3 linked regions of the Drosophila melanogaster genome follow. The protein of the gene in region 3 interacts with the protein of the main gene of each other region in a pairwise test. Each region holds a gene or a part of one and is shown on either strand. Other genes may lie near its edges.

What was found. Proteins that work in one complex are often made in the same cells at the same time.
Region 1: the proteins of CG11249 (region 3) and CG3942 interact in a two-hybrid assay, tested with the Drosophila melanogaster proteins (one large-scale study listed by BioGRID).
Region 2: the proteins of CG11249 (region 3) and robl62A interact in a two-hybrid assay, tested with the Drosophila melanogaster proteins (one large-scale study listed by BioGRID).

The regions. Positions count from the first base shown.
Region 1 is NT_033777.3:12,250,638-12,259,452, reverse strand, and holds CG3942 (uncharacterized protein), read right to left. Parts: upstream 5,267-8,815; 5' UTR 5,147-5,266; coding exon 2,927-5,146; 3' UTR 2,861-2,926; downstream 1-2,860.
Region 2 is NT_037436.4:1,474,060-1,481,229, forward strand, and holds robl62A (robl62A), read left to right. Parts: upstream 1-3,559; 5' UTR 3,560-3,661; coding exon 3,662-3,976; 3' UTR 3,977-4,310; downstream 4,311-7,170. Other genes in the region: stet (stem cell tumor), read right to left, coding at 2,114-2,463, 2,523-2,934, 2,998-3,228.
Region 3 is NT_037436.4:21,668,592-21,677,583, reverse strand, and holds CG11249 (uncharacterized protein), read right to left. Parts: upstream 5,446-8,992; 5' UTR 5,394-5,445; coding exon 4,928-5,393; intron 4,658-4,927; coding exon 3,195-4,657; 3' UTR 3,066-3,194; downstream 1-3,065. Other genes in the region: Als2 (amyotrophic lateral sclerosis 2), read left to right, coding at 1-414, 534-1,152, 1,216-2,352, 2,411-2,562, 2,622-2,845.

The sequences.
Region 1 (8,815 bases), on a different chromosome or scaffold from region 3:
GTGGGCAGCCATGTATGTACTATGTGTAGAATTAATCTCACAGCTCTCGCCTGATGTGGACATCACTTTGGGTCCTCAGCGGACTGATAAGATGCGACATCTGTAGAGTATATATTTATGTATTTATAGCTACTTATTTGTTCGTTATAAGCGTGTGGAAGTTTTTTAATATTTTTCGCTCTATACACTCGGCTTGTTTACATTTTCGGCCTGGAAATTGACAGTCCGACAGAACGAAAACAAAGACGGACACTCGACTGATAGATTAGCGCGGTTGGTTTTTCGGTCCGAGGAGGAGGCAGAGGTAGCGGAATGGCAATCTCGAAAGCACTTTTTGATGAACGGACGTGCACAAGTCTCTGCTTAAAAGCAGGTCAATTGACCTCGCCTCAGTCGCTCTCTCAAATGGCGCTTATCAGGCACTCGTAGAAACAAAATGCTTCTTATCAACAACTGTCTGCAACGACACTGGGTCTCTGAGTGGAAACATCAAGAAGAAAACAGCTTGTAGAACGAATAAGAAGACCGAGCTTCTTCCCCCAATTCGTTGGAATTAATGTTTTTTTTTTTTTTTTTGCTGAAAACAGCTCTTTGTACTTACGATTGATCGGTTTGAACAAGGGAAGCCATATTGCTTCAATATTTATTCTTGAATTCTGAAAGGAGTGGAAAGAAATTCATTTCTTTTGAAAACAACAATTTAGCTTGGAGTAAATATGTATATCTATCTGATGATTATAAAAATCGTAAATATTTGATAGACATTTCGTTTTCCCCTATCAAACCAGTTTAGTTTGAACAAAGGGTCATAACCCCTGTAATAGCCATCGATTTGGTGGCCAAAACCTGATCCAGTTATCGGTCAAATACCGTTGAATCGGAATGGAACCATTAATTATTTCCCTAATCCATCAGCATCCGTCAACAGCTCAGGCCTCTCAACTCGCCCAGTCTCACCTTTGCCTCCAACTTTCTCACACTCTGCCCGATCGGGATATTAATTAACCATGCCAAAATAGCGAAACTGACCATTAACACCGAAAAGGTTGAGAAGCCGAGGCGAACGGACGAGCAATGTCAAAAACTATTATCTCTCTAATGGGCGAAAACACACGCGTTGTGTCCTGTAAGGGGATACTTTCTCGGCTCATCAGATTCCGGCACGGATATTTCATAACTTCCACTGACCGCTGGCCACTACGAGTAGAGCAACCAAAGCAACCCCTTCGCCCAGCTTGAGACTTCTTTGGAATCCTTTCTTCTCTTTGCTTAAGCCTTTGTTTTCCCGGCATTGTCCTGGGCACCGGGCACTTTGCATAATCAATAATCCTTGTCGCTGGCCCGCCATTGTCGCGCTGACCAACACGTCTGAAAAGATAAATTATGGTTTGTAGTCAAATTGAAGGCAAACAATCCCGGACAAAGACCAGACCAAGGGAATGCAATGGGCTGGAAGCGACCGGGATGGGGTGGTCATCCGATCGCCCCGAAGACAGCTGCCGTGTGCTGGAACCGGACAATGTCCAAGGGACCCATGGGCCACAAAAGTTTGCTTTAATATTTTTGGGATTTATGATTCAATCTTAGTACCATCTTGGAGAGAGCTTAATGGGCACGAGGAGTTAAGAATGTATAAGATTCGAATTAGAGAACACTGCTATTTCTTAGCAGCATAAATTACTTTATTATAATTTGGAATTACCCATTCCAATAATAATTCTAATATAAGGCGATAATCATAGTCAATCATGCCATACCCAAATCCTATTTAAATATTTACATTCCTATGCTGACATAAATATACAAATATTTCCTTGAACCGAACCAAGATTCAAATTTCACCAATAAGTTTGCCCAAATCCCGGGCTAAAGCAAACATAATTACACATTTATTTAAAATGCGAACGGTATTCGGCGAAAAGAAAGCAGATAGTTGACCTTTACCACTCGCTGCAATCGCCGAAAGTCCTTAGACAAACGGCCAGCTGTGCAAATGTCAAGACGTAAGTGTCAAAATGCTCATTAATAACGTCATCCTTAACGGACGATGGCTGCAGGATCGGAAGCGATGTCCTTCCTGGGCAGGACAAACACACACGGACAGCTATGGCGAAAGATGGAATCGATGAGAATGCAAAAATGCAAAGGTACGGCTAAGCCACATCATCAAAGCGAAGTCTGGACAATGGGCAAAGTTCGTCAAAGGATGTTTGCGCAAGTAAACATTGGAAACTATATGCCAGGAAGAAGGATATGAGCTGTGTGTCCCTCGTGTATGGCAGTGTTAAATTGAAAAATTATGATAAATAGCACAATGGGATGGGGGAAGTTGCACAACAACCAAACCCACATCCCACTGAGAGAACGTCTTCGCGACGGTGTGAGTCACATGCAAAAGGGTATCAATACCACGGCAGGACGAAAGAAGGGGTTGCGCCCAAGACCCGACAGAGTGTTGCTAAAGTGTGCACTGGCCTATAAAGAAGACCCATTCGCCACGGGATATCATTTACGATGCCATGTCGTTTGACCGCCCAACGGGACTTTGGACCGCACCGTCTTAACCCCTTCTCCTGCCAGCAGCTTCCGCATCCGGAGGTCCTTTGTTTATCTACCCGGCAATAGTTCACATAAGCTTATCATCCGCAGCGCGAGTGTTTGCGAAAAATGTTTGCCAATTCGCGGGGGGTGTGCGAAGGGGTTAGCCCTCCAGTCCGTTTGGTCCTTCTATTGACAATTGTCGTTACTTTGGCTTTGGTCTGGTGGGATATTGTCGGCTTAGTCATGTAATGCTCCTTTGTCTTTATGGTTCAACTTGGACGTTGGCTGGTGATTACAGGACGGGTATTTGGACTGTTATCACGGGGCACATAACTTTCTATACTTTATTTGGCACCGGGGCAAAAACAGAACGTGGGGAAAACCATCAGTCGATGTAAATGTTATGTACGACGATGGAAGTTTCCGGCTTGTAGCCACACTTCTGGATCCACTCCTCCACCTCCGTCTCCTGGATCACGCGCCTTGTGGTCACTGAATCAATGGTGCACATGGTGTCCCCCTCCAGCTCTTCGCCCACTTGGTCCAGTTGGTCGAGACGATCGTAGATTATTCCCAGCACTCCGTGCTTCTTTAGCTTATTGCGGATCTCCAGGTCAATGGTGGAACTACCATAAACAAAAGCGTCCAGATTGATCTGGTGCAGGTATGCCATAGTCGAGGGCTTGTTCAGCAGTGAGTTAGCATGAAGGGTCAGCCCAAGGAACTCCAGACTGTTGCAAAACCTCACGGCAACATCCTGCACGCTTACCCTTTGGTCTGCATACTGAACCGGCGAGTGCGGATCCTCCAGTAGTAAAGTCACGGGATATACATTCTGCTTAAACCGAACCATGGCACAGATGTCGGCATCGAAGCTGCAAAAGACTATGCGCCTCTTTCCAGCCTTATTTAAAACAATCTCCAATATGGTGTCCACATAGAAGTTTCGATCGAACGTGGGCTTAAAGCTGCCGCTCTCCCAACGCCGCATATTGGTCATCTGCGGCCACTTGATCTCGATTAGGAAGCCCATGTCGACGGGTAGATTTTCCTCATCCAGGAGGTCGAGGAGCAGGGGAAAGGGGCGCTGCTCCAGCAGCATTCGATCACAGGACTTATCGCAGCCTTTGCTGCCAGCGAATCGCAGGACCTTCACCTCCTTCAGTTGATCGTAGGAAAATGCCTCCAGGGGAACGGCAATGAGGTCTTTTCGTTTTGATCCTCCCATAGCGAGGAGCATTAGTTTGTTAAGATTTTCGTAGGCAAATATCAGCAGATCCTGATTCTCCAGAAGATCCTCAAAACTAGGCATTCTCTGCAACATAAATCGCAGTACAAAATCGTGATACACCACCACCTGGGCATCCTGCGTGAGCTGGACATCCATCTCCACCATGTCTGCATTGGCCAAAACAGCCTGCTTGAAACCATACAAGGTATTCTCCCTTACCACATCGGATCCTAACCGGTACGTATTTCCCGATCCTTTGTGCCCGATGTTCATGCATAGGCGATTTTTGCGCCAGTAACGCTCGTAGCTGTGGCTCAAATCGCAACGGAAATTTGGCAAAGGTCGAATTATTAGATAGCGTACACACATCTCCATTAGTGGACGGTGGGTGGAGGCGCAAGTGATCTTCACCCGGGCAGAGCCTTCGGTGCCCAGCAGCTGATCTGGCATCAGGAATCCGTACCCGTAATGATACGGTGGTTCATCATAGCCTGCTTTATGCGCGTATGTGTACAAATCCAGTCGGTAGAGCGTTTCCTCCGGAAAAGCGATGGAACAATGAAATAGCTCCATATCCTTCGGCCCACATCTGGCTCCAAATCGTTGCTGCGCGGCCAAAGCATTTTGGACACATAGATTGGTCACCTCGACTTGTGCCAATTGAAGATACTGGTTCCCTGCCTTAATTTCCCGGGTGCTCAGATAACGCGATAAACGTGTTTGCGACGAAACCATTTTGATGGGATTGGCTGGTTCGTTACAAGGATTCTCCGGCACCTCAAACATGGGCTGCACATGGACATACAGGAGCCTCGGTTTCTGACGTTGCCAACAGAATGGAGCATTGAAGATCTTCAGGTGCACAATTGTCTCTGTGGTGGCCCAGCCGCGATCCACCTGGTTCGCTTCATCATCGTCGTGTGGTTTTCCAAAGACGTCGCAGTTCTTCAGCATGTTCTGACAAGTTCGAATCACTCTGGGATATAATTGGGACTCCCAGAAGCGTATATACACCTCATCCGTCTCGGGATCGTGGATCACGACGCAGTACCGATAGTGGATGTCGATGTTACGCGGTATCTCTAAGCTTGCCTCAAACTGACGGCAATTGCATAGGCAGCTAATGCAGTCATTCTTGGCCAAAATGTACACCTCCTTGGGATCCCAGTTTCCAAGAGAGGGACAGTTGCCACTAATGGCAACATACTCATTACCGTTTAGTGAACTGTGAAAGACTACACAGAAGGGCCACTCAGTAGTCGGAACTGGTGGTGGAGGTGGTGGCTCTTGTGTCTCCGAAGCGCTACTAGGACCGTCTTCCTCCGGTTTTCGCTCACACTCCTCCCGCTCGTTGGCAAAGAACCATCGATGCATGGTAATAGGCCAGTATCAAATGAACCGGGAATTTCGGAAGGTAAGTACTATTGTATAAATTGGTATCAATTTGGTAATAATTATTTCAACAAATTTCAGTGTGTACTTGACAGAAATTAGGTATCATTTTGAAATAACAAATTACTTAAACAAGAAAAGCTGCTCAAGTTTTTCAATACTTTTTACACAAAATCACAAGACTGAACTTATCCTTCGTGTTGTCTTAATTAGTTCTTATTTTGGAAATTCCCTCAGCACACCGCACCCCAAGAGACAATTCTTACTTATGTTTTTTACATGACAAAACAGATCATTAGCTAACCACAAAGAAACAGGAATATGTTTTGGGGAATATTACGAAACGCCATGAAACTTTCCCACCAAAGTCAACTAAGCATCCTGTCATACTTCCCGCAGGATGTGATCTTTTGATCCGGAAACTATAAAATTGGTACACCAAGCCCGAAGAAATCTCTGTGTCGCGGAAAAGGCACGCAAGCCCTCTTTCCCCTCGGAAACTGAAAACATTAAAACGAGCCACCTGCGACAGGATCGGAAAAAAGGAACAAGGATCGAGACAGGGACACGCCAGAAACTAAAACTGAGGGGTTGCACTCCTGCTCAAATTGGAAAATTAGACTACGCTTTAGTCAGGGGAAAAAAAAAACTAAATTAGTGTGTGCTTTAAAATTAAATTTTAATTGTGGTCTCTCCGAAAACTGTTGGTAAACTGTGGGAAATTTCAAGTTACCGAAATGATTCCAAATATAGAAACGTCAGTCTGAATGCTTGCGTCCGGAGCGGTGACAGTTGTCAATGAAACCATTTCGGGCACTTCCCAATTTGAGTATCTCACCTTACCGAAATCAGGGCAACACTTCGATGGCTTCCCAACTTGGGGCGCTCTCGAATTTCCGTGGTGCCTAATCCGCTTGTTTACTAAACAAATCAGCTGAAAAGGGGTGTCCCAGGATGGATCGAAATTTATGCCCGTCAACGGCGATTAAACAGCAAACGAGGCAATCAAGACGATCCGGACACATGCCAGAAGACTCAACCCCAACCGCAGATGCTGCAACTCGTTAGCACTGTCTTCTGCTTCAATTTGGACCACAAAAAATATAAAAATATCACAAAATTTGGAATTTTAATGATGGAAAAGGGAAAGTACGCAAAAAAAAAAAAGATGGTCCATGTAAAGACGGACTGAAATTATTACTCTTCAGTTCTGGTTTTAAGAATAAAAACTACATAGTTGAAACATGATTATCCTAACCATTTCGCCTGATATTATAACAAGCCATGTTCACTCCCTACTTTTAACTAATATTTGTTTTAACCCTCTCCAGCCTTTTTTATGGTCACAATAACGTCAAGTGTGTCGCAAGTCAGGCTCTCGTTCTGGTTTGAGCCCTCTGCGGTGATACAGCACAAAATTTGAACACATGTGCGCTAGACCGCAAGACGAGTGCCAAAAGTGCTGTCCACCAGCCATGTCCGTTTTCCGCTCCTCGTCCTTTTTCCTAACCTCGTCCTGTGTACACAAACAGCAGCTGAAACTAAAACCGAAACCGAATCCGTCGCGCCTGCGCACTGGACAGCAGGTAGAAGTCCTTTCGGATCCATTCGTTTGCGTGCAGAAACACTTGACTCAGATTGTTTTGGACCCTGCGGTTGAGATTTTTATGGGTGTGTTGCAGTTGCAAAAGTGCAATTAAACGGCAAACAATGCGAGACCGCAGCTTGTGCCCAGGTAGATCAGAGATCAACTGTCAACTGACTGCCGCAATTTGCTTGGAGCACTTCCTGGAAACTCAATACGCAATCCTAATTAAGCATAAAGAGACTAATTTCCCCGGTGCCCCTATGTGCTCCATTGTGTGGGAAAATCTAATTGGAAATCTGTGAACAAAATCGCCTTTCTCGCGGTCTTCAAATTACGCTCATTGCACCGAGGCCTGTGCGCAGGCGCTCTGAAAACACACGGGGGAATGGGGGGATTACTGTGGAGAATTCGGATTTTCCGCTTTGTTGTCGTGTAGTTGAATATCCTTGGGAAAGCCGGCTATCAGGATTTCCTCAATATTCTTCCTAAGCCAGTGTGAGAGCGGTAGGTAAATAATATTTTCTAGAATACTTACATACGTGATCTTGGAGCAGTCCGATTTCCTGGTGGATGTCCTCAGGCAAATACGGATGCAGGATGTGCGCACAGGTTGGACAGGATATCCCCAGGACGTTCACTGAATAAACAGGTGTATAGGAGTATTTTCCCAGGGACAAACTGGCTACACTGCAAACTCCAAGAGTAATCATTCCCCCTTTGGAACGGTAAACATGTCAATAAATCATCCCAGCACTTCTATGTCATTCAACCACTCGATGGAAATCAATAGCCGGAAAATAGTTTTCCTAGGCAAGCGTAAAACAAATCCAACACCGAAAACACCAAAAATCACAAATTAGCTAAACGACAACTATAGTGTGAGAAAAAACCGAACAGGGACAGCATTTAAATAAGGGAAAAATCATTGACACATGGGACTCCATCGGTTGCGACGTCGGAATGAACTGCAACCTTATAGCAACATCTGGACAAGTATTAAAAAAACAATAACATACCCTTAAGTGACATCCACTGCGCCAGGATCCTCAACGGCAACTCGCCCGTTGAAGATTACAATTTATGACTGCGGCTGATTTTCCAAATATTTAACCATAAGTTGGGGCGACAACGTGCATTTCTGAAACCCATTGGAATTTGTTACACTGCAGTGGAGTCGAGAAAAAACGACCAGGAAAAAATGGAACAAATTCTGAAAGATTTCCGTGAGAAACGATACAGGATGTAGGGATATTTAAATGAGATTGCGGAGAAGCTAGGCTATTTTAATTGGACGTGGGGGAAATGCAGGCAGTCAGACTTCAACCAGCTTTAAAAATCCCTTCCTTGCTGACTTATTTACGATTTCCACGAGCTGTGATCTGAAATTCGAAGCTGGACTATCTTCTCTAGTTATAATTTTCTCATTGCGATAAGCCTTTATCGCCGAATAGAATAGCTCTGAAAATTGAGCAGTTCAAATGTAATTTATTAGACGAACTGGGGTCCAAGATAAGCTAGACGAGATTACATGGGATCAGAAATGCCACAAGCGAGTCAAATTTCACGACTAACCAAAGGGCGAAGGAGTCTATATTATGACTCAATAATACTTTCAATATTTATATCAATTGTTATTAAATATTATTGGGCAGGCGAACAACCCTTACCCTCAACCCTTCTGTCGAGCGAACGTTCGATCCCTCCTGGAAATTGGAAACCACAAGGAGCAATCAAAGTCAGCGGCGAATGTGTGAATTATTGGGTTTCGGCAATTTAGTTGCAGAACGGCAAAAAGGGGCCATATACCCGCGTGTTGGGTGTCAGGGTTCCGGTGCAATCGAGCTTCTGTTTCTGTCGCAGATCGGCCCAAGTGGTCACTCACTCGCTAAAAGCTAATTAACCGGCTGAGCTGAAAGACTATAGTATATCAGGGAACATAAGTGATCCCGGATGTGTCGAATGGAATTAGCATAGGGCGTGGAGGTGGGATATTCAAAGCGAAGCCCCAGATGTTTCCACATCGGAACCACTCTTATCACGACTTGGACTTCCGCTCTGCCCAC
Region 2 (7,170 bases), about 20 Mb from region 3:
ATGGTCGCGTGCTCCATTGTTTGTGCCTTCCCTGGAATTCCCCGATTCCGATTCCGCATGAATATGTCAATGTAATGATCTCCGCCCTTCTTCTGCTTCTTGTGCGCCCAGCCCCGTTCGTATCTGTGGAATTACATAAATATTAACTTGTACTTTTTATAAACATGTTTGCGCACCACAAACTGAGGATTGCCGTCCTGGTCATGTTGAATTCCGAGCGGAGGAAGGCTTCGATTGATATGATTTATACACTAAAGACTACTCCAAACGGGCTTCATTCCTGCGGAATAAGTTAGTTGCAGTGCAGCAAGTTTAGTCTATTGACATTAAACCTGATCTAAAAGTATCTTAGAGCAGCATTCTCGCATTAGAAGCTGGCTACAAATTACGTTCTGGTTTTTAATCAGACTGCGTACAGAGTTAATTAAAACATTACTGGGATCAATGATATAATTGTTTAATAATTAGAGCAACAATAGGAATAGCAATGCACTAACACTAATGTAATTGGTTATTTTAGTAAACTTTTATGAATTCATTGATTTTCTTACCAGTTTTATCCAGTTTTTCTTTCTTTGAGCAGGTTTGTACATTTTTTTCCCAAACCGCCTCGAAATAACACCAATGCCGCATTAATCAGCGTCAATAGAAGCAGCTCCTGTCCAAAAGGATCGCTAAGAGGACTCAGTTGCGTTCCTGTCACATTTCGCTTTGCATTTGCCATGCCGCATTTTTCCATCATTTTCTGCTTCTTCCCGGCGACACCCCCGCGCCCGCGCGAAATATGCGACAGCCCTGACGAATGACTTGACGGCGAAATGTGCTCAAACAAACATAAATTCCGTGTCCGCCGGGATTGGGATTTGTTGACTGCTCCTCCGAGTGGCTGTCCCGAGTTTCTCCCAATGTCCTGGCCAAAAACACGCAACGAGAAACGCCAGAAAAAGCCAAAGTTAACAAACGAAACGAAGGATTGCCAGGTGCGCGTGCTGCGCCAAACGAAATTGTAGTTTTTTGCGCGCGGATTGTGTCATAACTCAAGGAAATGATAAGGACGGATGGCCAATCCTTATCACCCAGCACGCGAATCGGTTTAAACTCACTCCAGCTCACTTTTTAAGCCAATTTAATGGGATTTTCGCGGAAAGAAAAACGAAACCGACGCGTCCACTTGAAACCGTAAGTTCTGCGATCAGCAAAAAAAAAACGTGTGGCAACATTGCCACTGGAAAACTTTAACCCTTGAGCTTCATCTCGACTTTTACATTTATAACTGTAAATAAACAAGTGCTTAACGATCGGTGTAAGTGTGTCCACACCACAATCGCTAAAAATTCCCGTTTAACCCCAATTACAAGCATGAAACACATTTTTTTTTAAAATTTAAATGTACTTTTATTTACAAGTTAAACAAAATGTGTAAATAGAAAATATGTAAATTTATGCTTTACTCTGTTGGTGCTTGGTCGTAATTGATTTCTTAAAGCTGGCAGTGCTCAGTTACGCTCGGCTATATCAAATTGAAACCGATTTACTTCAACATTTTGGAATATATTTAATATTATTTATCAGTTGTTGTTGAGGTAGTAATCTCAATTGCTATAAGGCCTGTAAAATTTAGAATAAATCGCTTGCATTGCCAATATATCGGTTTCCATATAGTCCTTAAAGCACACGCATATACATATATTTGTAATTCTAATTTACAGCTTGTGGAGTTTTATTCATTATTAGCTCCCATATAAAGTCTTCTGGTTCTTCTGGTTAATCTTAATAATATGTAGAAAATGTGTAATTCCTTGAGCATTATGTTACACCTAATCAGTTCGATTTGTTGTAAATATTCTCTTACGATTCTTACAATATGTTTGTACTTAACTAGCAAACAAAACAAAATAATTTACGTCGCATGACACGTAAGCAAACAATGAGATATTCATATCTGATCCTACAGATATAGGGTTAACAAAACAATAAACGCGAAACTTAATCGACGTCCAAAAACAATAAAAACTTCAATGTAACGCAATGAACAAAATGTAAGCAAAATATCAATTAAATACGAAACAAGGATCGAATTCTGATCATCCCTATCGCTTATCCTCCTGGGATTTCACACCTGGAAATCATTGAAAATGGTTTCCGTGACACGGATCTTCTCCACGCGTATATTGAACATCGCAAATCCATTCATGATGTTGAAGGCGATGGCGAAGACCACCAGCGCCAAGTACGTTCCCAAGGCGATCCACCAGAGCAGCTGCTCGTGGAGCTTCTGCTCAAAGCTCTTGAGCACCAGCAGCCCGATAGTTAGGCCAGCAATGGCACCAGCCAAATGGGCCACATACGAAACAGCACCCGCCGTTTCCGCCTGATCTATGGCCAGGAATTCACTCGATGATCCCAGCTGCAGTTCGTCGCCAGCATAGCGAGCATAGATGGCAAAGCCAAAGTCGAAGGAAACTAGAAGAAATTGAACTGTATTAACAACAACACTAAGGTGCGGTAGGCTAAACACTCACCGAAGACCAGAATGTGAAGCAGCTTGATGACTCCATAACGCATCTGGTGATAGTTGAGAAGCACATTGGCCAGGTGGGCGGCTAGCAAAGCGTATACTCCACCACTGGCGCCCACAAGGAACACATCCGGGTCAAAGATGCTAGTGCCCAGGCTTCCCGCCAGCACCCCGGAGAAGTAGATGCAGGCTATCCTCGTGGAACCATGAACCATCTCCAGTGGCAGCCCAAAAACCAGCTGAACTGCCACGTTAAAACCGAGATGCAGCCACCCGGCATGGAGTACCATGTAGAAGAGGAAGCGCCAGATCTCGTGACGCTTATCGGGACGGTAGATGAACATGGAGTCCGAGGGTATGGGTCCCCTTGGCGCCGCCTCACCCGTGACCACTGAGTGGTAAACAAAGAAACCCAGCTGGGGGAAAAGTAGTTAAGTAGTCAAGGGTCTGTTCAAGGAGAACTTAAACTTTCAACGCACCTCCACCAGAGTAACCAGGATGATGAAAAAAGGCGGCGGACAGCAGGTGTAGCGATCGGCGTAGTACTTGCGATCCCGCTCCTCGGGCAGGATCTCCATGGCCACGGCGTGCACCATTTTGCGAAAGAGTGGCGGTTCGTTTAGCACCAGCTGGAAATCGTTTTCGGAGCAGACTTCACGATCTCGATGGTGTACGGCGCACTTAAAGCTACGTGTCCGCTTGCCGCTCATCTGGAATTAAGTATGGAGGTTTAATCAGCAATAGTTGATGCATATTTAAGTGTAAAGATAACCTGCAATTACATATCTAGCTATGGTACTGCGATACCTTTTTCGATGTAATTGATATAGCAATATATGTATATTCCCTAAGATCGTTATATAAACACCACTTCGGGAGTAAGCAATATAACAAAACATTTACTAAGAACTTCGCTAAGAAGAAAGTGATTAGAAAATTTTCAAAATTGTTTCTACTATTTCGCCTATCAAAAAACTCTCCCATTTTAGTAGCCTTTTGATACAATTTCAGCAATTTATCAGCAAAGACTACAGAAAACTTCAGTACCTTTCTAACATCACTCGAATACGGATCAAACATAACTAGAAAATAAATCTTTTAGACAATTTCTAATTTCCAGTTTTACTACAAATCTTTTTCAAAATGTCGAAAATTTATCTGAAGGCCATGGAGGATGTGGTGCAGCGAAACACGGACAACACAAACCGGATTACGGAGCAGGCGCAGGGATTCGTGGTGTCGGAAAATGCCGGGGACAGTCTGCTGCACACTTCATTCGATTTGACCACGGCCCAGTCGATTGTGAAGCACCTGCACGCCAGTTTCCTGAAATTGGCCCAGAGCTGCGTCCGTGATCTGGATACCGATGATAAGCTGTGCTTTCTGCGCGTGAAAACCCGCAAGCACGAATTCCTGGTTAGTCCAGAGGAAGCCTTCACTGTGACCGTGGTATTGTAATCCCCCAGCCCATCTAGGGGTTAACAGTTTGGACATTGTTGCTTGCTGGTGGACAAGGGAGAGAAACACCAATACACACCCACTATCGCTACAGCTGTCTCACTCGCTCATTGTTGATGCTTTCGTTGAAGATCGTCGTACATGTTTAACCAACCCCCCACCCCCCACCCATCCAAAAAAGAAAAAAGAAATCTAGTCATAAAATTATAAAACGAACATTTATGCGTGTGACCGGACAAACTAAATTATGTTTATTATGTAATTAAGATGTTGGCACAGATGCCGATGTCAGCCATTAAAACAAACGCAGAGCGGGCAAAAATCCGCAAAAAGCGGAAAATAAGCATTGTGTTTAATTAAAAGTGAAGCCTACACGCAATTAAAATGCTCGTCTACGACGATTGCGAAAATAAAAAGGCCACAAATTAAGCTAGCCACGGCCTTAGGGCACAAAATAGTTACTTCCGCCAGTCTGGGAAGGGGGAATTTATGTATCTTCTAGTTAATCAGCGCTAGGCGGACTCTTAATGGCAGTAATTATCAAATTTTGTTTAATTGATAAGCCTCCTCTGGAGGACTGGAGGCTATGTCACTGGAATATCATATGGGTGGCTACTCTGTTCTTGCGCGGGTGTGCACTAAATACTCCCTTCCAGGGAAAGCGCCGTTTTTCTTGTATTTTGTTATGTACATATTAACTGTAATATTATTCACATTCTCCGAGCATTTCACTTACGCAACGAAACAGCAGCGTTCCTGCTTTATTAACTTAATAATCCTTATAAATTTTTCATTACGATTAAAGTTTAAACACAATGAACACTTAACATTGAAAAAACGACCGAATTTACAACTTTCCCGCCAGCGTGCCGAAGTTTCTATTCGCGCTCTGCGCTTTGTACTCTTATCCTCCTAGTTCTATTTCCATTCATTCCGCTTAGTAGTGTTGCACAACGCCAGCTGATCGATCATCGAATCTAGAGCGCTAAGATCAAAAATAAACAGAAATCAGATTTTACTTCCGAGTTTCCGATTTGGGCCAATTTCTGGGTATTAAATTGTTTCGATTCGCAGACAAAGGGCGCAGAGAATCTGTGTTGTCAACAATGGGAACACCCACACGCATTGTGGCCGTGTGACAAGTCGCATTTTCGGCAAGATCAAGCGATCACAACAAAGTGCCAACAGGGCCAATAGGGCGAAATTGTATTCCCAACAAATGATTGCTTATCGTTTGTTTGGCGGACGCTGGCTGCTGCGGCTGATAATGTCATTATCCTGGGCGCAGAGCAGCGCAAGGAGTCCGAGTCCTGCACGCCGCATGACGTCACCAGGTAGGCGACTTCACCGCCATTTAACGGTGCTAAAAGCAGACGGCACAGTTGTGAGCAAAAAAATAGGAGCGCCACCTATAAATGTACTTGCAACTCTTAAAATTACAGTTTACTTATTAAATTGAAGAGAGTTTACTTGAAATTGTGTGTGATCAAATTTCTATACAGGTATGTACTTTAACCAACCCTACCACTATTATCTTGGCCTCTGCTGTAACCTCGCTTCATTCACCTTTTGCAGGACAAGCCGACAAATTGACGCAAAACATTTAACGCTGGAAATTGGGATTGGGATTGGGATCGGGTCGGCAGACATGGTCAAGCGGGACAGGACAGGAGCGAGGAGTGAGGGGATCGAAAGGCGAAGGACCACAGGACGACGTGGCCGGCTCGGCTCTCTCGCTCGCTCGCTCTGCGAGCCACAAAAAATTCCTTTGAATTGCGTCCGTTGCAGCAGGAGCACACAAACACGGCGACATGTATTTTCCGCATTTTTTGTTGCCTTCTGCCTGTGGCTATGCGCAAAAAAGGACATCTCCGCCGGCGGTGGCAGGATGACGGTGGTCCACAGGATCGGTGGTTCGTTGGTTCGGAGGTATTGTGTGTCCTCTATTATGCATTGCGTACGGCCTCGCCCGGCGTGTTGACATTTTTATTCCAAACAGTTGAGCAATATTTATAAACTGGCCGAAAAAAAAGGAGCGGGAGGTGCTGGAGAGGAGCAGGAGAGGAGCAGGAGGAGGATGATGCGGGGGTCATGGTGCATGATGCATGCCCAATGGCTTTATTTCCGGGTGACCGTGTAAAACGTGCTCGTGGTTTGCAGCCTATTAAATGAGCTATTTGATTAACATTGTTCGTTGTTACGCTAATGAAAGGACAAAAGCGAATATTTGGACTACGAGGCACAAAGGACACAGGCCCGAAGCCATTTTACAGGACAATTCATAAAAACATTTATAATGCAGAGCATGATATTTATATTCCATGCATGCAAGGAAGCTATGCATATTTATATTTGTAAAACGTTTTTTAAAAGCAAGGCAAAGTCAAGACTGAGTATTGATTTGAATATTATTTTAATCTAATTAAAAAGATTACTCAACTTATATAAGAATAATCTAATCCTCGAGATTGACCCTAGCCTTTTGCAATAAGCACTTAACTTTCCACAAACAACAATGTTCATAAACATCAGGCAATTCAAATATTTCTACATTAATCGAAATTGTACAATTTACTCTGCCACTCAATTACTTTGTTTTTCTTTGGCAGCTTATTAAATGCCACATTCTACATGCCCAGGAGCGAGGACCCAGCATCTGTTGATGTTTGCACGGGCGAAACACCTTGGAGTCCGGGGTAAAACCGCACGAGCCCAACCAGATGATGATCTAATTGAATGACAATATTATGCCAGGCCTAATTCAATTTGCATTCCTTGGGAAGAGGTGCAGATGGAGGAGCGAAGGATATGGGGCTGAATCTTAAACAAACACGACAATTACTGCCGACGGATGCACTTGTCCGGCCAAATGACTTGGTCCCGTAATTAGCCCGGGGATGAAAGGATGCGGGATGGCTTCCCGTTTTTCGGTCCTTGGTCCTTTGTCGGCCTCCTCGGGGGTCCGTCTAATTATCACATTTTTACTCATTAAATTCACATTTGCCCGTTTTTTTTTTTTTTCGTTGCTTTTCCCCCTTTTTGGCAGGTCCTGCGCGGATCCTGCTGTCTAATTACAGGGTAATCAGGCTTTCAGCCGCCCAGACCAGCGAATGATGATTGATTGAGGGTGTGGTAGTAGTAGCATCGTAAAATCATACCACATAACTTCCTCGCTTAACTCATTTCCATTCCAG
Region 3 (8,992 bases):
GTATCAGCAGGTCAAGCAACAGTTTCATTCTCTTTTCGGACTTCCTCTGCCAGGTAAGCGGCAACTCGCTGTACTCGTATCCCTTAACTACCCTGTGGGTGTGGACCGAAGGCGACAGCCTGCGCTTGACCACGCCGGAAAAATCCTTTCTGGTAAGCACCCGTTCGCAGGAGATGCGCAAGGTGTGGCTGGACCAGTTGCAATCGAGCATTATAGCGTCCTTGGGCAAACCTCTCGGAAGTCCTGTGCCCAGCTATCGCTCCACGGGGTACGAGTTTAGTCGGGAACACCCAAAGTTCTCCAGGGTGAAAGCGTGCGGTACCTGGAGAAAGGGCGTTCTCCACGGAAATTGCTACCTTGAGTATCCAGACGGAAGTGTATACTGCGGAGAGCTGCAACACGGGATCATTGAAGGTGAGTTATAATTGACCTGGGTGTTATTTAGTTATATAGCTCCTATGTAAATTATCGATGATCATCCAAAACGATAGTTTAGAGATAGAAAAAAGCATTAAAAGAACGTTATTCCTAAGGTTTCGGCAAAATGGTGATTCCGACAACGGGGCTGTATGTAGGTAACTTTAAAGGTGGCCGGTTCCACGGCCACGGTGTTTACGAAATGCACTGTAAGGATTCCCCCGAGAGCGAAGTCTACGAAGGAAATTTTTGCGAGGGCCTGTTTCACGGCCATGGAGTGATGCGGAACAACCGATACATCTACGTGGGCGAGTACCAGGCCAATGCACGCAGTGGATACGGAGTGATAGAGGATCTGGTTAGCGGGGACAAGTACATGGGCATGTTTGCGGATAACAAGCGATCTGGAATCGGCAGCTGCATCACCAACCGCGGCGACTACTTCGAGGGCAGCTTCTCCGGAGACGATCTCACAGGCAGTGGGGTTGCTGTCTTCGAGAACGACTATTACTACGAGGGCGAACTCACGCTCCTCGGCCCAAACGGACGGGGGGAATACTACATGCCCAGTGGAGATGCCTGTGGAGGAAGCGGTGCCATGGGGACCGGGGAGTTCGACGACACTTGCGAGCTTATTGGGAACAAAATGTTTGGACAGCTTAGTGGTACTTGGGACACGGTGCGGATACAGGCCGGTGAACTGGTACTAAATCGGCGCTTTCCTAAGTACCCCAGGTGAGTCAATAAGAACCCACAAACGTACTTCAATGAAAAAATAATATAATGGCTTTACTGCAGCTCCCTTGGGCGCCAAGTGGTAGATCACAATCGCAAGTGGCGATCATTGTTTAACAACTTTGAATCGGACCTTGCCAATTGCACGGCAAGCACTAGCAGCTCTGGAGGCAATCAATCAGCTGGCACCCTCAGAAAATCCTCGAAACCCACTTTGAGCACGGCCCAAATCTGGAACTGCATAGCGGTGTACATGAGCAAACAGCGGGCTCGGGAAGGAACAAAGCCTGGCAACTACTTTAACAACATCCTGCTCAGTCTGCCGCTGCCGCAAAAAACATCATCCCCACTGGCAAAGGCCCGCACCACCACCAGCGCACTGAGCAAGCTGCAAACGGAGGCTGCATCGGCGCTGGACTTCTTGGGATTTCCACCGCGACGAATCCAATCCCAAGAGGCACTGAACAGCAAGCCAGGCGGATTGCAGAGAGCGGATAGCTTAATCTCTATGGGCCACAATACATCTCGTGACTTGGACAACAGTAGTCTGGCTAGTTTCCAATTGGACCAAAGCCTCATGAACAGCACTGTCAACGGCGATGAATCCAGCACGTTCAATGAAAGCTTTTCGAAACTAAGTCACAACAACAATAACAGCATTTCGAAGCACATGAACAACATCGATTGCTCGATAACATCAACAACGTCTACAACGAGTGCAGTGCTGGACCAGGTACCCAGTTTTGGAATGGCTTTGGTGCTTACCGAGCAAGATGTGACCTCCATACGTTTGTACCTGGAGCAGGCTTTTAAGGATCGCCATCACCCGCTGTACGTGCTGAATGAGCGCATTGCCAACTGTTTCCACTACTCATATGGCTATTGGAAAGTTAAACCCACCCCGATTTTGGCCAAGCAAGCCATGAGAGAGTGGGAGTCCATATCGCGTCGCATTTACCGCTTTGTGCGGAAGATGTTTCCAGCGTTGCCCGAGGAACTTTGCCAGATGGAGGGCAGCAGGGAAGTCATATCGCATATTACCCTATTATACCCACTCGTGCTATCAGAGGGCATCTACTCCACTTTGTTTGTGCTGTATGCAAATAAGTACAGTCGAAAGGACGAAATGTATCGGCAGAATCTGAATCTTGCCGAGAAACTAAAGGACCAAGAGCTTGTTGAACTTATGGGTCATGAAAGGTATTCTAAAATGTCTACGCTATTTTATCTTTCTTGTAATTTTCAATTTTGCTTTCAGTTTTCTGCACAATGTAATGTTGGACCCCAAGTTTGTGGAGTCCGTGCAGACGTTAAAGGAACTGCAGGAGAAGTTTAGTCCACAGGACATGTTGACTGTGATACAGCGGAGCACGCAGCTACTAACTGAGGCCTACGAACACGCCATGGCAGGTGAGTCTCAAAGGTCCAGATATCCGTAAATAGTTTCACTAAGCAGTTCCGACTCACAGCTAATGCCGCCCAGCTCAATGCGGACAACATGATACCGCTCACCATGCTCACGATGCTGCGCGCTGCTGTTCCCCACTTGGGTGCGGAGCTGGCCTTATTGGACGATCTGACCGGTGGCCCCAATTTCCAAGCCGAGATGAATGGAATGGCGGGCTACTGCTACACTACACTGAAGGCCGCATATGAGCACGTGACGTCGAGAGCTCTGCAAAAAATCCCCTGAGCGGGCTCAGCTCAAAGATTTCGGGCTCCGTTGCCGAAAAGGCCGACACATGAGGTTTTAGAAAATTAGTTACTTCTTGTTGGCATTGTTAAGTCTCGGTGAATAAGAAACACAAGTGTTGATTTCCCGTAAATAGTCTGTATATACATAGAACGACGAAATTCCCTCATATGATTACGGGTATTGATTCTGTACAGCCGCAATTGATTAGCCCCTAGTACAGCGTAGAAATGTGTATCTATATATTTATGTATGTATTTATCTGTATCTGTTTTGTATATTCTAGGCCAACGCGTTAACATTCCAATTACTCACCAAAGCAAATAAACTATCTACACACACTTGGGAACTAAGTCTTTTCTATTTCCTTGAGGGTCTGCATCTGGTCCTGGTCCACAGGGAACAGGATTTCCGCCATGTGCGACGCAAAGTTAGTTCTGTCCAGCTTGTACACGATGTACTTTTCAGGAAACTTTGTGCCATCCTCGTAATTGTACACCAGGATCACCTGATCGTTCTGCTTGGCGATCTTTCGCTTCACCAAATAGGCCAACGCGTATATGGCCTTAAGGAAGACGTTCCGCCTATGTGCAATAATGCACTTGGTGCGGAATGGAAGCATGGTCACGTTGTGGTAAATGGAAACGTAATCCTCGGCGGAGCGCATGTGGCTAACGAAGAGAATGGGGGCGTGGGGCCGAAAGTGGGAGATCTTTTGCACCATCCGCGTGGTGACTCCGATCACGACGATGGCCACCGCATGGACTTCAATGGAGGCAGTTACCACGGAACGCGCCAAGCTATCCGCTCCAGTGTGAGATCGGTCGCAGTATGGAGTATTGGCCAGTGCCGTTGGGCTGATCTGCTCGAAGATGGCGGATTGCAGTAAGCGGAAGTAGATTGTACCTTTCGGCTGCGGGCACGTGGTCACGTACTTGTCCGGATAATAGAACGTGTAATAGTAGTGCGCGGGGTCCACCCTAAGCTTTTGCTCATCCAAAAGCCGCGGATCAAAGATAATGGGTTTCTTCGCAGCGTATGTCAACTGCATAAAGCACTCGGCGTCGGGGCACAGGTGCATTATGTCCGGAACAGTGGCCGGCTCCGCCAGTTCCACCAAGAACCCGTCGTAGCGTTTGATCGCCCAGTTCAGCTCCCCTTTGCAGCCCTGGACCTCGTTGAGCACCACTCTAGCGTACAGTCTCATGCCATCGCAGTGCATAGCGGACATCGCGTGCTCCAAGTTGTCCACGTACTTTGGGGTCCCCACGATATGGGATACTACCACATTCAGGCCAACCTCTCGGGCGAAGGTAAGGTCCTCTAGCTCCTCGTACGAGATCCGGAAACGACGACACCTCGCCGGGAATAAGACAGGCATGTGGGCATACAGCATGCCTCCCCTGGCCACACAGCCCTTGAGGTGGTCCGCGTGGATGCTCCGCACCATCAGTTGAATGTCCTCGCCAATCAAAATAAAGTCCAAGGGGTGTACATCAACGATCAAAAAGCGGGCATTCACATATATAACATCAGCGTTGCTCCGATCCGAGTACTGCCGATCCACGGTCAGGATTACCTTCTGGCCCTGCACAAGTTCAACGCACTTCTTGCCCTCCTGGCGGAACTGAGTGCTGAATCCGCCAGTGAACTGGTGGCGCGGCGATATCTTCACCATCACTGAAGACGTCACGGGAAAACCCAACTCCTTTGAAACACTGATCTCCGCCTCTCGCAGCTTTACGATCAGGCTCTGGTTGTCATGCTGAGTGCCCTCGAAAAGGTTGACCATAAAGCAGCGGACTCCGCCCACTGAAAGTAAGGAGTTGTGGTGCAATAACAAATGGATCTTATAGAAAAATGCCAAATATAGGCAAAGGGTTTTAGCTAATAATTCTAAAAAAAAGCAGAGAGAGGTATATAGGGGGTCTCAGAAATGTCATAATTCGGATTGATGATTTAAACCCATTAAGACCATGAAATATTCCTAGAAATGTAGATGTGTTCTAACTTGGAAGTTTAAAATTCTAAAAAATTACGTGGCGTGTATAAGGAGTTTACGCAAACGAACTGTAAACGCACATAGATGGTGTTTGATCTCGAGATCGCAGTTCGTCATCGAAGTCAGTTCCACACACTTGCGGTTCTCGTTGGGATCGGTGCCGACTGGGGTGGTCAGGATCTGAAAGTCTTTGAAGAAACCGTGCCAGCGATCCTCCTCGAAAGATATGTTGCACGGATCCTCGCTTAACTCCTCGAAGTCGAGTTCCTCCTCCGAGGCCGAGCTGCAATTCTGATTGAAACCCGAATGTAAGGAATACTTGGATCGAAGAATCGCCATCTCGCTTCCACGGTTCATGCTGACTTCTTCCTCTTGGCCTAGAAGATGGTAGAAGGTGTTCCGCCGTTGCATAATATTTAACTTCTCCTTGGCCTTCTGTAATTTCTCCACGTCCACTGCGATGATCCGCAACCGGCTGAACATGTTGTCTATAATCGACTCGAAGGTCGATGCCTTCCGCTCCTCACCATCCTCATTATCGCTCATTGCTGGGGAAGATAGAAAATTTTGGAGTCTAATCAAAAACTGTGTGCTTGTCAAATTTGATATGGAGACTGGGACTTTTTAGCACCAGAATTTTCGTTAATCTTGATATAACTGGAGAAAACAAAATAAAATTACAAAATTGAATAAAAGGTTTGTGCATCGTTCCCAATTTATACACGTTTTTAGTTAAGAAAGAGATTCGTTCAAAGTTTGTTACAGGTATTTACCCATGTCCGTCGGCTCGTCCGTACGGTTCCTCTGGAACCACAAAAGCCAGAAAGTTAAAAGCCAGAGATTAACCATGCACAATATGCCACGCCCAATGAAACGCCCGCAGGCCGCCGCCGAAAACTATGACAAGAGTATACTATGAAAATGTTTAAATAGGATTAAACGTATAATTTAAATATCTGCCACTCCAACATCTTTAATCCACTGCTCTAATTTTTCTGCCTCCCTTTTGTTTCAAAAATGTAAAACAAGTGTAATTTCTTGCTGATCAATAACTGTTTACAGGACTATTAACTATTTTAAGATTTTGAGTCTGAAACAAATACTAAACTATATCGTGCTTTGTTTAAAGCTGCGTTGTTTTTAAGCCTGCTTTCTATACATTGTTCTACATACTTTAACTGCTCTTTTCATTTACTAAAATTAATTTGTTTGAAAATAGATGAAATTGACTATAGTTCCATTGAATTTGAATGCATTATCTTTGTTCAAGAGAATTTATTCATGATTCAATTGACCAGAGCGATATGACGACATGCATTTGGGATAATTCCGTTTGGCGTTGAAGAGTCGAAAGGATTATATCTTTTTCAATCGCCTAAATACGGAAAATTTTCATAATTTGGGGTGAAGGTTTTCAATTTATACACTTATGCACTGAAGTCATTTCTGGCGAAAGCTGTACAAGATAAGAGTGAATTAATCATTACATTAATGTTTTTGTAAAAGCAAACGTAAGCCATGAAATTACATAATCTAAGGAGGGATCAGGCTAGTTATGCGCATAGAGTCCCAACCAGATCGACCTCCTCCTCCTCCTCCGAGCCCAGGCGTGATTTTATAGTTTTCCTGCCCTTTAGCCACCCATGCATTTCCCATTTCCACTCAACATAGTTTCTGGTTTTCAGTTCTCCAGCGATAAAAGAAACCGCAATCCGAAGCGCAGGTAACTTTTGGTATTTGTTGCCACTGCTGTTGCTCATTTTTGTTTATTTCCGTAATTTATTTGCCTGTTTTGCCTTTCCGAAGGCGAAAATGTTAAATTTAGCATCAAGCGTCAAGTGAAATGTTTACAATGTGAGAGAAAGTTAAATTGAAAAGCGGGAGGGAGGCGGCCTTTCAGTTCGGAAAACTGAAAACTGAAAACGGGATCCCCAACTAAGCGTTTTAGAATCTATTCGGAATCTTGTTTCAGCGGAGGCCCAGCACTTGAGCACGCCGAGTTCCGCCCGAGAAACGAGGAAAACATAAACATCCAGGAATGTTTAGAGAATAAAAATGTTCATATACGCTGCTCTCTACTTTTTGTGTCTTTTCCCCCTTTGTTGTTTATTTTCCCCCAGCCAACGTGCGGATACACCGGCTGACTAAGACCAAGACCAAGACCCACACACCCGTACCCGTACCCGTAGTCGTGCGGACACGTACCCGGACCCGGACCCGGAGTGGGGATACGGCTGGAAGACTGGGTGTGGCCGCACCCATGTTTAGACTAAACAGCCGATCATGGAAGAAATGTAGAAAGTGTAGAATTCTTCCCGCTCGACTGCGAAAAGCGCTTGAACTTTGACGCCGAACTGCACTCATCGGTTGGTTCGATTTCCCCTTGCTTTTCTTCCTTTTTTTTGCCCCATTTTGGACACGGATTTTTCTATGCCAGGCGGCGTGGGCGGGTGGAGTGGTCGGAGTTGGTGGTGGGGCTGCCATCTGCTGCCATTGAGCACCAGCATAAATTGCCTGGCTCCTTCTCCTTGGCTCGCGATCGGATGGGATCGTGTGGGATCAGCTCTCTCCCTCTCTTTTCAATTCTCTAGGTCTTCTCTTTCTATCCGAATAGCGCCGTCCCGCTTGCTCGTCCATTCATTTCGTGAATAGAATTTTCTAAATGTCTTTGAGTTTTCAAAATTTTGGAGCGTAGGTGCAGTGCGTCGCGAAGCGTCAGCGTGTACGGTTGGCTTTTAAGATTTCAAGAGTTCCCAAAGGCGATCGGAAAAGTTGGCAGTAATAGGGGGAAATTCCACCCCCCGAGCGGGTGACGTTACCCCGTTTCAATATTCAAATATTCAATATAATATTCGTAGTGCTCAGTGCTGGAGAGTAGGGTTCCCGGATCCAGGATCCATTCGGTACTCTTCCCACAGAAGTGGGCGTTCTTCGGTGCCTGTTGCCAGGTCCCCAGATGAACCCCACCCACACAGATACACACACACACACCCACACTCGCACACACTCTGGCGATAATTTTTCATCTTTCCAATATCCCACTCGACTGGCGAAATATTCGCCTCTGGCGTTCGGCTAAAAATATTTGAAAATCCAAAAATCCACTTCAACCTACTACGGCCGCCTGTTTTTCATAATTTTCAGTTTCGGTTTTATTTATTTACCCTATACATACGCATACTAGCACGTCCGGCCATTTTCCGACGTCTTTTTGTTTTGCGACTGCCGAAAGTTTTGCCGTTTCATTTGGCATGTCGTCGTTTTTGTTTATACCACCCTGCCGATTTCCCGGTTTTCGCCAGCCCGCCCTTGCACCCTTGGCCGTACATTTTCTGCATTTTCTTGGCGATTTCCACATTTTCCCACATTTTTCGCGGCCTTTGTCTCTTGCGGAGACGGATTTCGGAGCCGGAGTAGGTGGATGGCGGTCTTAATTGCCAGTCCCGTGGTACAAATCACAACCTAATGGGCAGCCTCCACCCGAGTGGTTTACAACTTCCTTGGCCAGATATCGCTGTACATGATTAGATATATACATATAATAGTAAGTATGTATGTACATGGACGGATAGTTGGCATCGGAAGACAGCTGTGTGCATTGGCAGATGCCATCAACATCATCATCATCATCATGATCAGCACCATCATCTTGGTCGTCCATTGCGTTTGTGGGGGAAGTCCATAAAAAAAAAGAAACCAAACCAGCACACAGTTATAAAAATAAAACTATTTTCGTATGGCGTGCATATAGACGCTCGATCATTAGACGGCAGCAGAGCCGCCACTTGGCACAGTTTTCCAGAGCACAGATTGGACCATAAATCAATCGAACCAAATTAAATTAATTCAATTCAATTCCAATCCAAATCCCAAACAAGAACCAATCTCATCACGGCTCCATGTGTGCGGATCGGTATGTGAAAAGTGGATACACAAATTCTAGTCGATTTGTCTTTTTCCGCTTACTGGCGTTTCAATTCCACAACGACAGGAAAGGGAAAAAGGCGTATTTACTATGAGTTTGCTCAGCGATTTGCAGGTGATCCAGGTGTATATAGTATTAGTAAGTATTTCATCGTTTGGTGATATACACTCGAGAATATATTTCATCTGACTAATCAAAGTCAACTGACGCAACGACGCAT